2 linked regions of the Callithrix jacchus genome follow. The protein of the gene in region 1 interacts with the protein of each later gene in a pairwise test. Links are inferred from orthologs where the notes say so. Each region holds a gene or a part of one and is shown in the gene's direction. Other genes may lie near its edges. The genes, in order: FGFR1 and GRB14.

Region 1 (4,280 bases):
GGCGACAGAATGAGACTGTCTCCGAAAAAATAAAAAAGAGAAAAGAAGGGGGAAAAAAAGGAAAAATAATGTGAGGACCCATTTCTTAAATTAACAGGGGTGGGGTGGGGAGGAGCAGTGGGTGGGATGGGGGAGGAGTTGCGTGGGGGATCTCATTCAGTATTCAAACTCTTACAAATTTGGGGGTTGAGGTGGGTGATGGTGAGGGAACAGGCCCTGCCACTAACTTACATAGTGACATTTATTTGTGTAATATTTTTGGCACACTGATGCCTATTATTGTATTTGATTCTTATGACCATCTTGTGAAGGAGTAGCAACAGATACCCCTGTTTTGATTTTATCAGATGCATGACTTGTCCTGCATCAAACTTCATAAATGGACAGAATGGAGGAATCCTTCAGCCCTAGAGCTTCCTGCTTCCCACCCTAACAGTGGCCTCAGCCTGGGCTCACATCATAGGCCCCACGGAGCCTTGGAAAAAACATAGATTCTTGGCTCCTTCCTGGGACAGCGCGATTCCTCATGTCTGAGCAGGCCCATGAATTTGTATTTTTCAAGAGTTCTTTACAGGACCCGTGTCCATTTGGATTAGGGAACCACTAGATTATACCATTCCACGGAAGACTCAGGGGGAAGCATTTTAGCCACTTTCCCAGGTTCCATAGTATTGGAGGGTGTTCTGAGTGGGCTGTGATTAATTTCCAAACCAACCACACCTCTCCCCTCAACTCCCACTGCTTACTCTTTGCTTCCTAGACGTTCACTGCAGGCTGGAGACTTCCGGAGGCCAACAACATCGCTGAAGAATTTACAGAGTCCAGTTCCCGGTGGACCACAAAACCTAAATTATGTGGCTGGGGAAAGCTGAGATCCAAAGGAAGGGTTTGAGGAGGGGCTGACCTTCTCAAGAATAAAATCAGCTTGTATTTATTAAGTGTTAACTATGCGCCAGGCCCTCGTTGACGCCTCAACTCTATACGAAAAGCACTATTATTCCCCTTTTACAGATGGCAAAACCGAGATTAGAGCGCGAAAATCATTTCCCCAAGGCGCACAGACTCCAAAGGCCACGCTACCAGGTACAACCTCAGGGCTGCAGCGTCTCTTCACCTGGCCCCCCACGCGGCTGCTGTGTCTAGGGCCTGAAATCCCGGCGCCCTCTGGGACGTGCTCAGATGCAGCGGCGCGAGCGCCAGAGGAGACCAGGCTGCGGGAAGGGAAGGGCCGAGCGGAGGACAGCTTGGCCCGCTCCCCCTCCTCGGGGGCCGCGGCTCGGGAACTACAAGGCCCAGCAGGCAGCGGCAGAGGGCGGAGGCGGAGGAGGGACCAGCGCTGGTGGGAGTGAGAGGGCGAGCCCTCGCGCCTCGCCGGCGCACAGCGCTCGGAGCGCTCCTGCGGCCACAGGCTCGGCGGCCTCGGCGGCGGGCGGCAGGCAGCGGGAGCCGGGACGCCGGTGCAGCCGCAGGGCGCGGAGGAACCCGGGCAGTGCCAGGAGCTAGGCGGCCACGTCCGGACCGGACCGGACCGAGAGTCCGCGTAGCGCATTGCGGCGACCTCGCCTTCCCCGGCCGCGAGCGCGCCGCTGCTGGAAAAGCCGCGGAGCCCGAGGACTTTTCTCTGCTCCGAGCTCGGGGCGCCCCGCAGGACGCACGGTACCCGTGCTGCAGTCAGGCACGCCGCGGCGCCAGAGCCTCCGCGGGGCGATGGATCCTGGTCTGCAAGGAGCGTGAGGCGCCTCCGCTGCGTTCCGGAGAAGGGGGGCGCAGGGTCTGGAGACCCGGGCAGCGGACGGGAGCCCTCCCCCCGCCCCGCCTCCGGGGCACCAGCTCCGGCTCCATTGTTCCCGCTCGGGCTGGAGGCGCCGAGTACCGAGCGCTGCCGGGAGTCGAGCGCCGGCCGCGGGGCTTTCGCGACCCCGCCAGCACCCGAACAGAGCCCGGGGGCGGCGGGCCGGCGCCGGGGACGCGGGCACACGCCCTCTCGCACAAGCCACGGCAGACTCTCCCGAGGCCGAACCTCCACGCCGAGCGAGGTAAGAGCCGCGGCGCCCCCGATCCGGGGCGGACTAGCGTCCCGAGCAGCCCCAGGCGCCGGAGCCTTCCGGCTGCGCGCTTCGCCCGCCGCAGCCCAGCCGGGGCCGGCGCCTCCCTCCGCTCGCCGCCCGCCCCCTCCACCTCCCGGCTCCCTCCCCGGCAATCCGCGCCCCCCTTGGGTCTCCCCTCCCTTCCCTCCGCCCGCGTCGCCTTCTGCGCCCCCTCCCTGCGCTCGTCCCGCCGGTCTTCCCGCCGCCCAACTTTTCCGCCAACTCGCGCTCGGGAGCTGACGAGGCGGCGGCGGCGGCTACTCGGTGAGTCCCGGGAGGGACAGGGCTGGAGTGGGCGGCGAGGGGGGCGGTGTGTGTGTGTGTGTGTGTGTGTGTGTGTGTGTTGCATTCCGCTCCATCTCTTCTTAGTCCCCTTTTGGGGATTCACCCCAATTCAGCAGGTAGCTTTGGGCTCAACGCTAAAAATCCGTGACATTCCTAAGTCCTTTTCCACCCCCGGGAAAGTCTGGGGTCCGGGTGGGGGGCGAGTGGGCGGGGGGATGAAATGCGGAGGACGTGGAGAGCTAGGTTAGCTTCTCTTGGAATACGTTTTAAGGAGGTGTCGTCACCAAATGGCTGAATCTGCTTGAGCTGAAAGCGAAAAACGACTCCCCTTTCCAGAAGGGGTGATCTACTTGGACGGTCTCAGAAAGGGTCGGAAGTTTGGGGAACGGGAGGACGACCCGCGGTCGTTAAGCCGAGGTATGGGGCGGGGGCAGGGGCTGGGGCTGGGGCCGGGGCTGTTCCGTCCCAATCTGGTTCTTGGAGGTGGAGGAAGGGATGTGGGTTTTGTCCGGTGCGGTTCACTCGGCTGCGATGCGTGTGCTTGTCTAGCCCAGACCCCTCTGCGCTCCGCGTCCCCTCCCGTTATGTTTGGTGTTGGTAGAAAGGGAGGCTACGACCCACGTCGGCAGAGAAATTTGTGGACGTTGTAGATGGGGTTCATATAGAACACCCCCTGTGAGGCAGCCAGACACTTTGTGTGGTGGTGGTGGGGGAGGGAGGGTGAAGCCTGTTTCTTGTTCTGGGCCCAGAAGCTATCAGCCCGTTTGAAGAACATTTCCACGGTGCGGTTCTCCCCTAGCCCTCCCCCATCCCCATTTTCCAGATGTGGCGGCCGCATCTGGTTCCGTTTCACCCCACACGGGTACACCGCAGCCGCATTATTAACTTACCTCTTCCTCCCCTCCCCCTCCCCCAAATTAAAACTCGGATTCTTCAACTCGCCTTGACCACCTCTCTCCTCATCATTTCTGGAGACTTGGAGATGCGGCATTGAGATTCAGGGGAGAAAAGAAAGTTCCCTTGAATCCCGAGTTATTTAAGTTCCCACCAAGTTATTCGCCGCCGCTGGTGGGTGACGGCGGTCGGGGTGCTTTCTGGATTGCGCAGAAAAGAGGCATCTTGGGAGATGGGGCCAAGGTTTTAGGGGATAGCACTTGCGAACGGTTCATCCGCTAGACTAGGGGGGCTCTTTGGCCGTGCGTCTGGCCAGAAGTGGCCTTGACGATGGAAGTTTCTGGAACCAAAGCATTGCTTTCTTTCCCTTGAGTTACAGTTGGAGTTGCAGGAGCGCCTGCCCCGCCCGGAGCCCGCGGTCCCCTCTCGGCCGCCCCGCGGTGGCGTCACGCGCCCCTTCTTCCCCTCCCGGAGCGAGCCCGGTGCGCAGGGCCGGGGGGCGTGGGCGGCTGTTGCCAGAGGTGCTCTCTGTGTTTTTAAGGATTGATTTGGGCCACATCCCCGGAAGCTAAGTGGGACATTTTACCGTTTAAATAACGGCCACAGGTTTGAAAGCGGGGGTTGGATTGTCAAGTTGTGTTTGGTCATAGTCTTTGAGGCAGGAAAGCACCTTGTGGTCCAAAGTTGCAGGAGGGTGGGGAGAGTCGGGAGAGTCGGTCTCTCACCCGCTTCTTTCCAGTCTCTTTCAAATTGAAAACACTTCTCTGGTTTCCTTCTTTGGGCGGTAGTTTTGGAGGCTGTAATGAAATCGCACTTTCTCTAGACGTGGTAATTAAGGTGACTGTTTCCTCCGCAGATGTGCCCTGCCCTTTGCACCTCCGGACCAGCGCTTTTTTTGGAATACCACCTAAATGGGAAAACCTTAGCCTTGAGACTGTTGAGCAGAAAGTGGCCATTTTCCTCCCTTGGCTCGGGCTCCCGGTTTCCTCCCTGAGGCTTCTTTAAAAGCGAAGT
Region 2 (4,601 bases), on another chromosome or scaffold:
ATGAAGAATTTGGATTCCCTGAACTTTGACTCAAAGATCTGTCTTCACGAGTGCCCAGGTCTCCTGGCAGGCTGGGAGTTAGTGACCCCTGGGTTGTCTAGTGGTCGGTGCCTCGGTGGGAGAGGATGCACTGAGATGGGGGAGGGGAGCTGCTGCTTTCTTCTGGAGGCAATATTTACCTTTCCCTGGGCAGAGGTTGTTGAAATTAAGAAAACCTGGTGAAGCAGATGCCAGGGACAGATATTACCTAACTTGGTCAAAGAACAAAGACCCTGTGAAACATTTGGAAATCCTCAAGAGTGCCCAGGGACGGGCACACTTATTGGAACAGCAGAAACAGGATCACTCAGCATTTCAGAGTAGGGCTGCTGCATGTCACAGCGTGAGCATAATAATGCCATTACCATTTCAAACAGTCTGGGTTTTTGAGAACGCAACTTCTGGGTTGGAATATTGATTACGCCAGCTACTAGTGCTACGCTTTTGTTATTGTTGTTACTGTTTTGTTTTCTTTCTTTGGAGACAGAGTCTCACTCTGTTGCCCAGGTTGGAGTGCAATGGTGTGATCTCGGCTCACTGTGACCTCTGCCTCCCAGGTTCAAGCGATTCTCCTGCCTCAGCCTCCACAGTAGCTGGGATTATAGGCACCAGCCACCCCACCCGGCTATTTTTTGTAGTTTTAGTAGAGCCGGGGTTTCGCCATGTTGGCCAGCCTGGTCTCGAACTCCTGACCCCAGCTGATCTGCCTGCCTTGGCCTCCCAAAGTGCTGGGATTACAGGCGATGGCTTTGAGCCCCAGTTTTCATTTGTGTAAATTGAAGTAAACATCTAATTTACGGAGCTGTTGAGAGGTTGGAATAGGTAGCGTAAGGCACCATGGAATTCATTAGTGTAAGCTTCTCTCATTACAATAAAACTAATAGTCTTTCTAATTTCAGACACCTTCAGGTTTACTCATGCTTTACTGGGAATTCTCAACATCTCGGTAGTTTCTATAATGATTGGACTCCTTGCTCCCCCATCCCTCCCCTGCAGCCCCCCAGTCTTTGGCTGCGGAGTGGATGGAAGAAGCAGCACGTTGGGGGAGGACTGGGGCAAACCCAGCCCCCTGGTACCCTGGCCTCCTGGCCTCCTGGCCTCCTGGCCCGGTGGGGACTGTCATGGCGGCCCAGCAACAGCTTAGGTGATCTCAGATCGCTGAGCGGAAGAATGCAAGGGTGGGACGGTCAGGGCTGCGCAGACCCCTGTCCCGCCAGCGGTCCCCCCTCCCACCCGCAAGCCCAGCGGGAGCACCCCCTCGGCTGCGTCCCCGCCTCCGGCGCCGCCGGGGCGGCCCAGACCCTGGGCTCAGCCTCGCGTCCCGAGGCCCACCTGGGGAGGCGGCGGCGGTCCCTGCCTAGCGTCCCGGAGCGGACGGCCGGGGAGCGACGCCAGCGGCCCCGAGCGCCCAGGGCCACGCGCGGGGCTGGCCCGCCGCTCGCGCGCCCTCCCCACCCCCTCCGCGCCTCGCCCCGCCGCCCGCGGCCCCCACCCACCGGCCGCTCCTCCCCTCTCCCCACCCTCCTCGTCCGCCCCCTCCCCTCCCCCGCCGCCGCCTCGCAGACTGCTCGGCCGCTTGTCTCAGCCGCCCGGGCCCCGAGCGCAGGCTGCGAGGCCACCGCACCTGCAGAGCGCTCGGGCTGCCTAGCCTGCACCTCGCCTCCCGCCGCGCGATCCAGTTCTCCCCACGCGTCGGGTCTCCCATGACGCCCGAGCCCCCCTGCCGGCGACAATGACCACTTCCCTGCAAGATGGGCAGAGCGCCGCGGGCAGGGCGGCTGCCCGGGATTCGCCGCTCGCTGCCCAGGTGTGTGGCGCTGCCCAGGGGAGGGGCGACGCCCACGACCTGGCTCCGGCCCCCTGGCTGCACGCGCGAACGCTCCTGCCCCCTCCGGACGGGACCCGCGGCTGTGCTGCAGACAGGTAGGCAGCCCTGGAGGGCGCGGGGAAGTGTCCTGGCTGGGCAGCCGGCGAGGGGGTAAGGAGGCGGTCCTAGGGGGTGAGCCATGTGCCCAGAGCTGGGCCAAGTTTGTAAAAGTCTCTGAAGACAATCCTCTTTGAGCTGGCTCCTACCGGACCAGCAGGACATTGCGATCTCACAGTGCCTTATAAATAGCATCACCGTTTCATTGAGAGCTCTCATCTCTTTCGCCTCTTCCCATCGGTGTGAAACTAGGAGGCCAGGCTGCAGGTTGATCACCTTCTGCTCCTTTGTGGCCCTGCATTTTCACAAAGGAAACTCTATTTTATTTTATATGTTTAAAAAAATCGTAGCATAAATGTATTCACCTCCCACACAGAGTCTTACAGCGACCCTGTAGAAGCAATGCATGGATTGACATTTGAGCAGTCTTGCTGTTCAACAGGAAAGAATAGAGGTTTTAAAAGGTTTCCCAATCCATAGCATTCACCACTAAGTGCCTTTAGAGTTGCACATACTTTTGGGGGGGGGGGGGAAGGATACAAAAATTCACAAATCTGCAGTCCTTTATATTCATACATTTAAACGTTACATTTTTTTCCCTGATTTTCAAAGCACTCCAACTTCAGTGAAGTTAAAATTACTTTCTAGTGGACTAGAGTGGTTTATACTATCAAGTTCTATTAACTTACGTCCTCAAAACACTGCCTCACTGTTTAATATCTATAAGCAATTGAAATGTCAACAGACTGTGTGTGGGCAACATTGTGAATGAAATTTGAAGTGAGATGAACCACAGCTATAATTAATAAATGATAACTTCCAAAAGTGATTAGTAAAATATCATAAGGACGAATGCACTAAATGTAACTTAGAGACTTTGTCAATATAGTGGAAGCCTAACAATGTCTGACTCCTCAGGGTGATGTTTGCATTAGTAATGGTATAGTCAGTTTATCAAACGGGATAGAGTTTCCATGCCTGGTGATTTAAAGGCAAAAGAGAGAGAAAAGGAGAGAGAGAGAGAAATATAAGAGATTTTTTTCATCTCTAATTAACATACTGTATTTTGACCCATAGAGAGTACATCACAGACCTTTTCTGTATACTTTATATAATACGAGCTTTGTCACAGAGTGGTACATGTTGGCCTTAGCACACTTTTAAATCCTGACAGCAATTATATTTTACATTCTGTTTTATGTAAATTACATCCTATGTTCTCTTACTTCAGGAGAAAAAAGAAAGATCTTGATGTTCTGGAAATGCCATCTATTCCAAACCCTTTTCCTGAGCTATGCTGTTCTCCATTTACATCTGTGTTGTCAGCAGACCTGTTTTCCAAAGAAAATGCAAGGAAAAAACAGGTATGCACTTTTAAATTTTAAAATTCAAAAATCTTAGGAGTTCTGAATCCATCCAGTCTTTAAGATTTTCCACAATTTACAGTATCAACAAAAAATTAGAATGGGCTCTGTTAAACAACTCTGTTGACTGACATAGTCCTTTGGCATTATTTTCATTTTGGGCCTTATTTTTTTAAGGTGTATAATGGGAATGTTAAAACCTACCTCCAAGGGTCCTGGGATGGATTAAAAGAGATTATGTATATATATATATATATATATATATATATAAATTACAGTGGTTGGGAGCAATTGTTGTTCACCAGATAGGTAGGAGATGAGATCATTTTTAAGCCAGGAATTGGGCAGAGGTTGGAGCTGGGCAGGCAGTGGTAATGATGTGAGAAACAGACTGACTGCTTCCTTTAATACTTTCTTTAATTTTTCACATTTTTAACCAAAGCCAACCTCATTTACTAAAGGAAAGTGATTTAGTGATACTATGGCAAAAAGTACTTGGAGTTTAGGGTCAATGTGTCTTCATTTCAGTGGATTTCTCACTTTGGAGGCTCTGGCTACAGAAGACAGACTACTTGTAATTGATAATTAGAAGACTGTATTTTTATGATTTTCTTCTTTTAAGTTTCTAGTTTGGGACTGACTTAAGCAAATTAGATTTTAAGGACCAAGCAACTAACAGAAAATACATCATGGCTATACATTTTGAGGGGAAAAATATTCAGTGTCTCGTAGAATAATTTATCTCTTATCATATACGTTCTCCCAGTTTTGACCAAAACAAAGAGAAGTCTCACTAGATGAAATGCAACTTGTTCTTACAAGGGTGGAAACAATAAATTTAAATAGCTAGATACTTGCAGTGAGAGAAGGATAATGAACAGAGAGGACAAGGCAGTTGGCCATTTTACCACATCTATTATTCTCTTTCTTCTTTCTGCACCTTTATTACCTCTGATGGGTTCGACTACGTGTGTTTATACTTTTAGGAATGGAGGAAATACCTTAGAAAGCAGGTGAATTCTTGATCATATACAGCAATAATAGAAACAGCAGGAAATATGTTTGATAGAAGCCCTGTGTATATACTTTGTGGGGGAGGGGTTTGAAGTCACTTGATAATCATGTTTTTGGGTAAGAATGGGAGAAAATGGGAGTAAATTTTTCTAGAAGCAGAACTATGTTCTGAATTGCATTTTTAAAAGGAGAAATAAGCCCTTAAGTGGGTGACTGTTGGGGAGATAGACAAAGAGGAGACTCTCCTGAGATCTTTATTA

What was found.
Region 2: the proteins of FGFR1 (region 1) and GRB14 interact in a two-hybrid assay, tested with the Homo sapiens proteins (2 studies listed by BioGRID, with this or other methods). The link is inferred for Callithrix jacchus from reciprocal best matches to the Homo sapiens genes FGFR1 and GRB14.

The regions. Positions count from the first base shown.
Region 1 is NC_133514.1:39,299,163-39,303,442, reverse strand, and holds the start of FGFR1 (fibroblast growth factor receptor 1), read left to right. Parts: upstream 1-1,376; 5' UTR 1,377-2,036; exon of another isoform or gene 2,037-2,351; intron 2,352-2,628; exon of another isoform or gene 2,629-2,789; intron 2,790-4,280. UniProt on the Homo sapiens protein: Tyrosine-protein kinase that acts as a cell-surface receptor for fibroblast growth factors and plays an essential role in the regulation of embryonic development, cell proliferation, differentiation and migration.
Region 2 is NC_133507.1:65,009,492-65,014,092, forward strand, and holds the start of GRB14 (growth factor receptor-bound protein 14), read left to right. Parts: upstream 1-1,600; 5' UTR 1,601-1,771; coding exon 1,772-1,962; intron 1,963-3,194; coding exon 3,195-3,327; intron 3,328-4,601. UniProt on the Homo sapiens protein: Adapter protein which modulates coupling of cell surface receptor kinases with specific signaling pathways. Binds to, and suppresses signals from, the activated insulin receptor (INSR). Potent inhibitor of insulin-stimulated MAPK3 phosphorylation.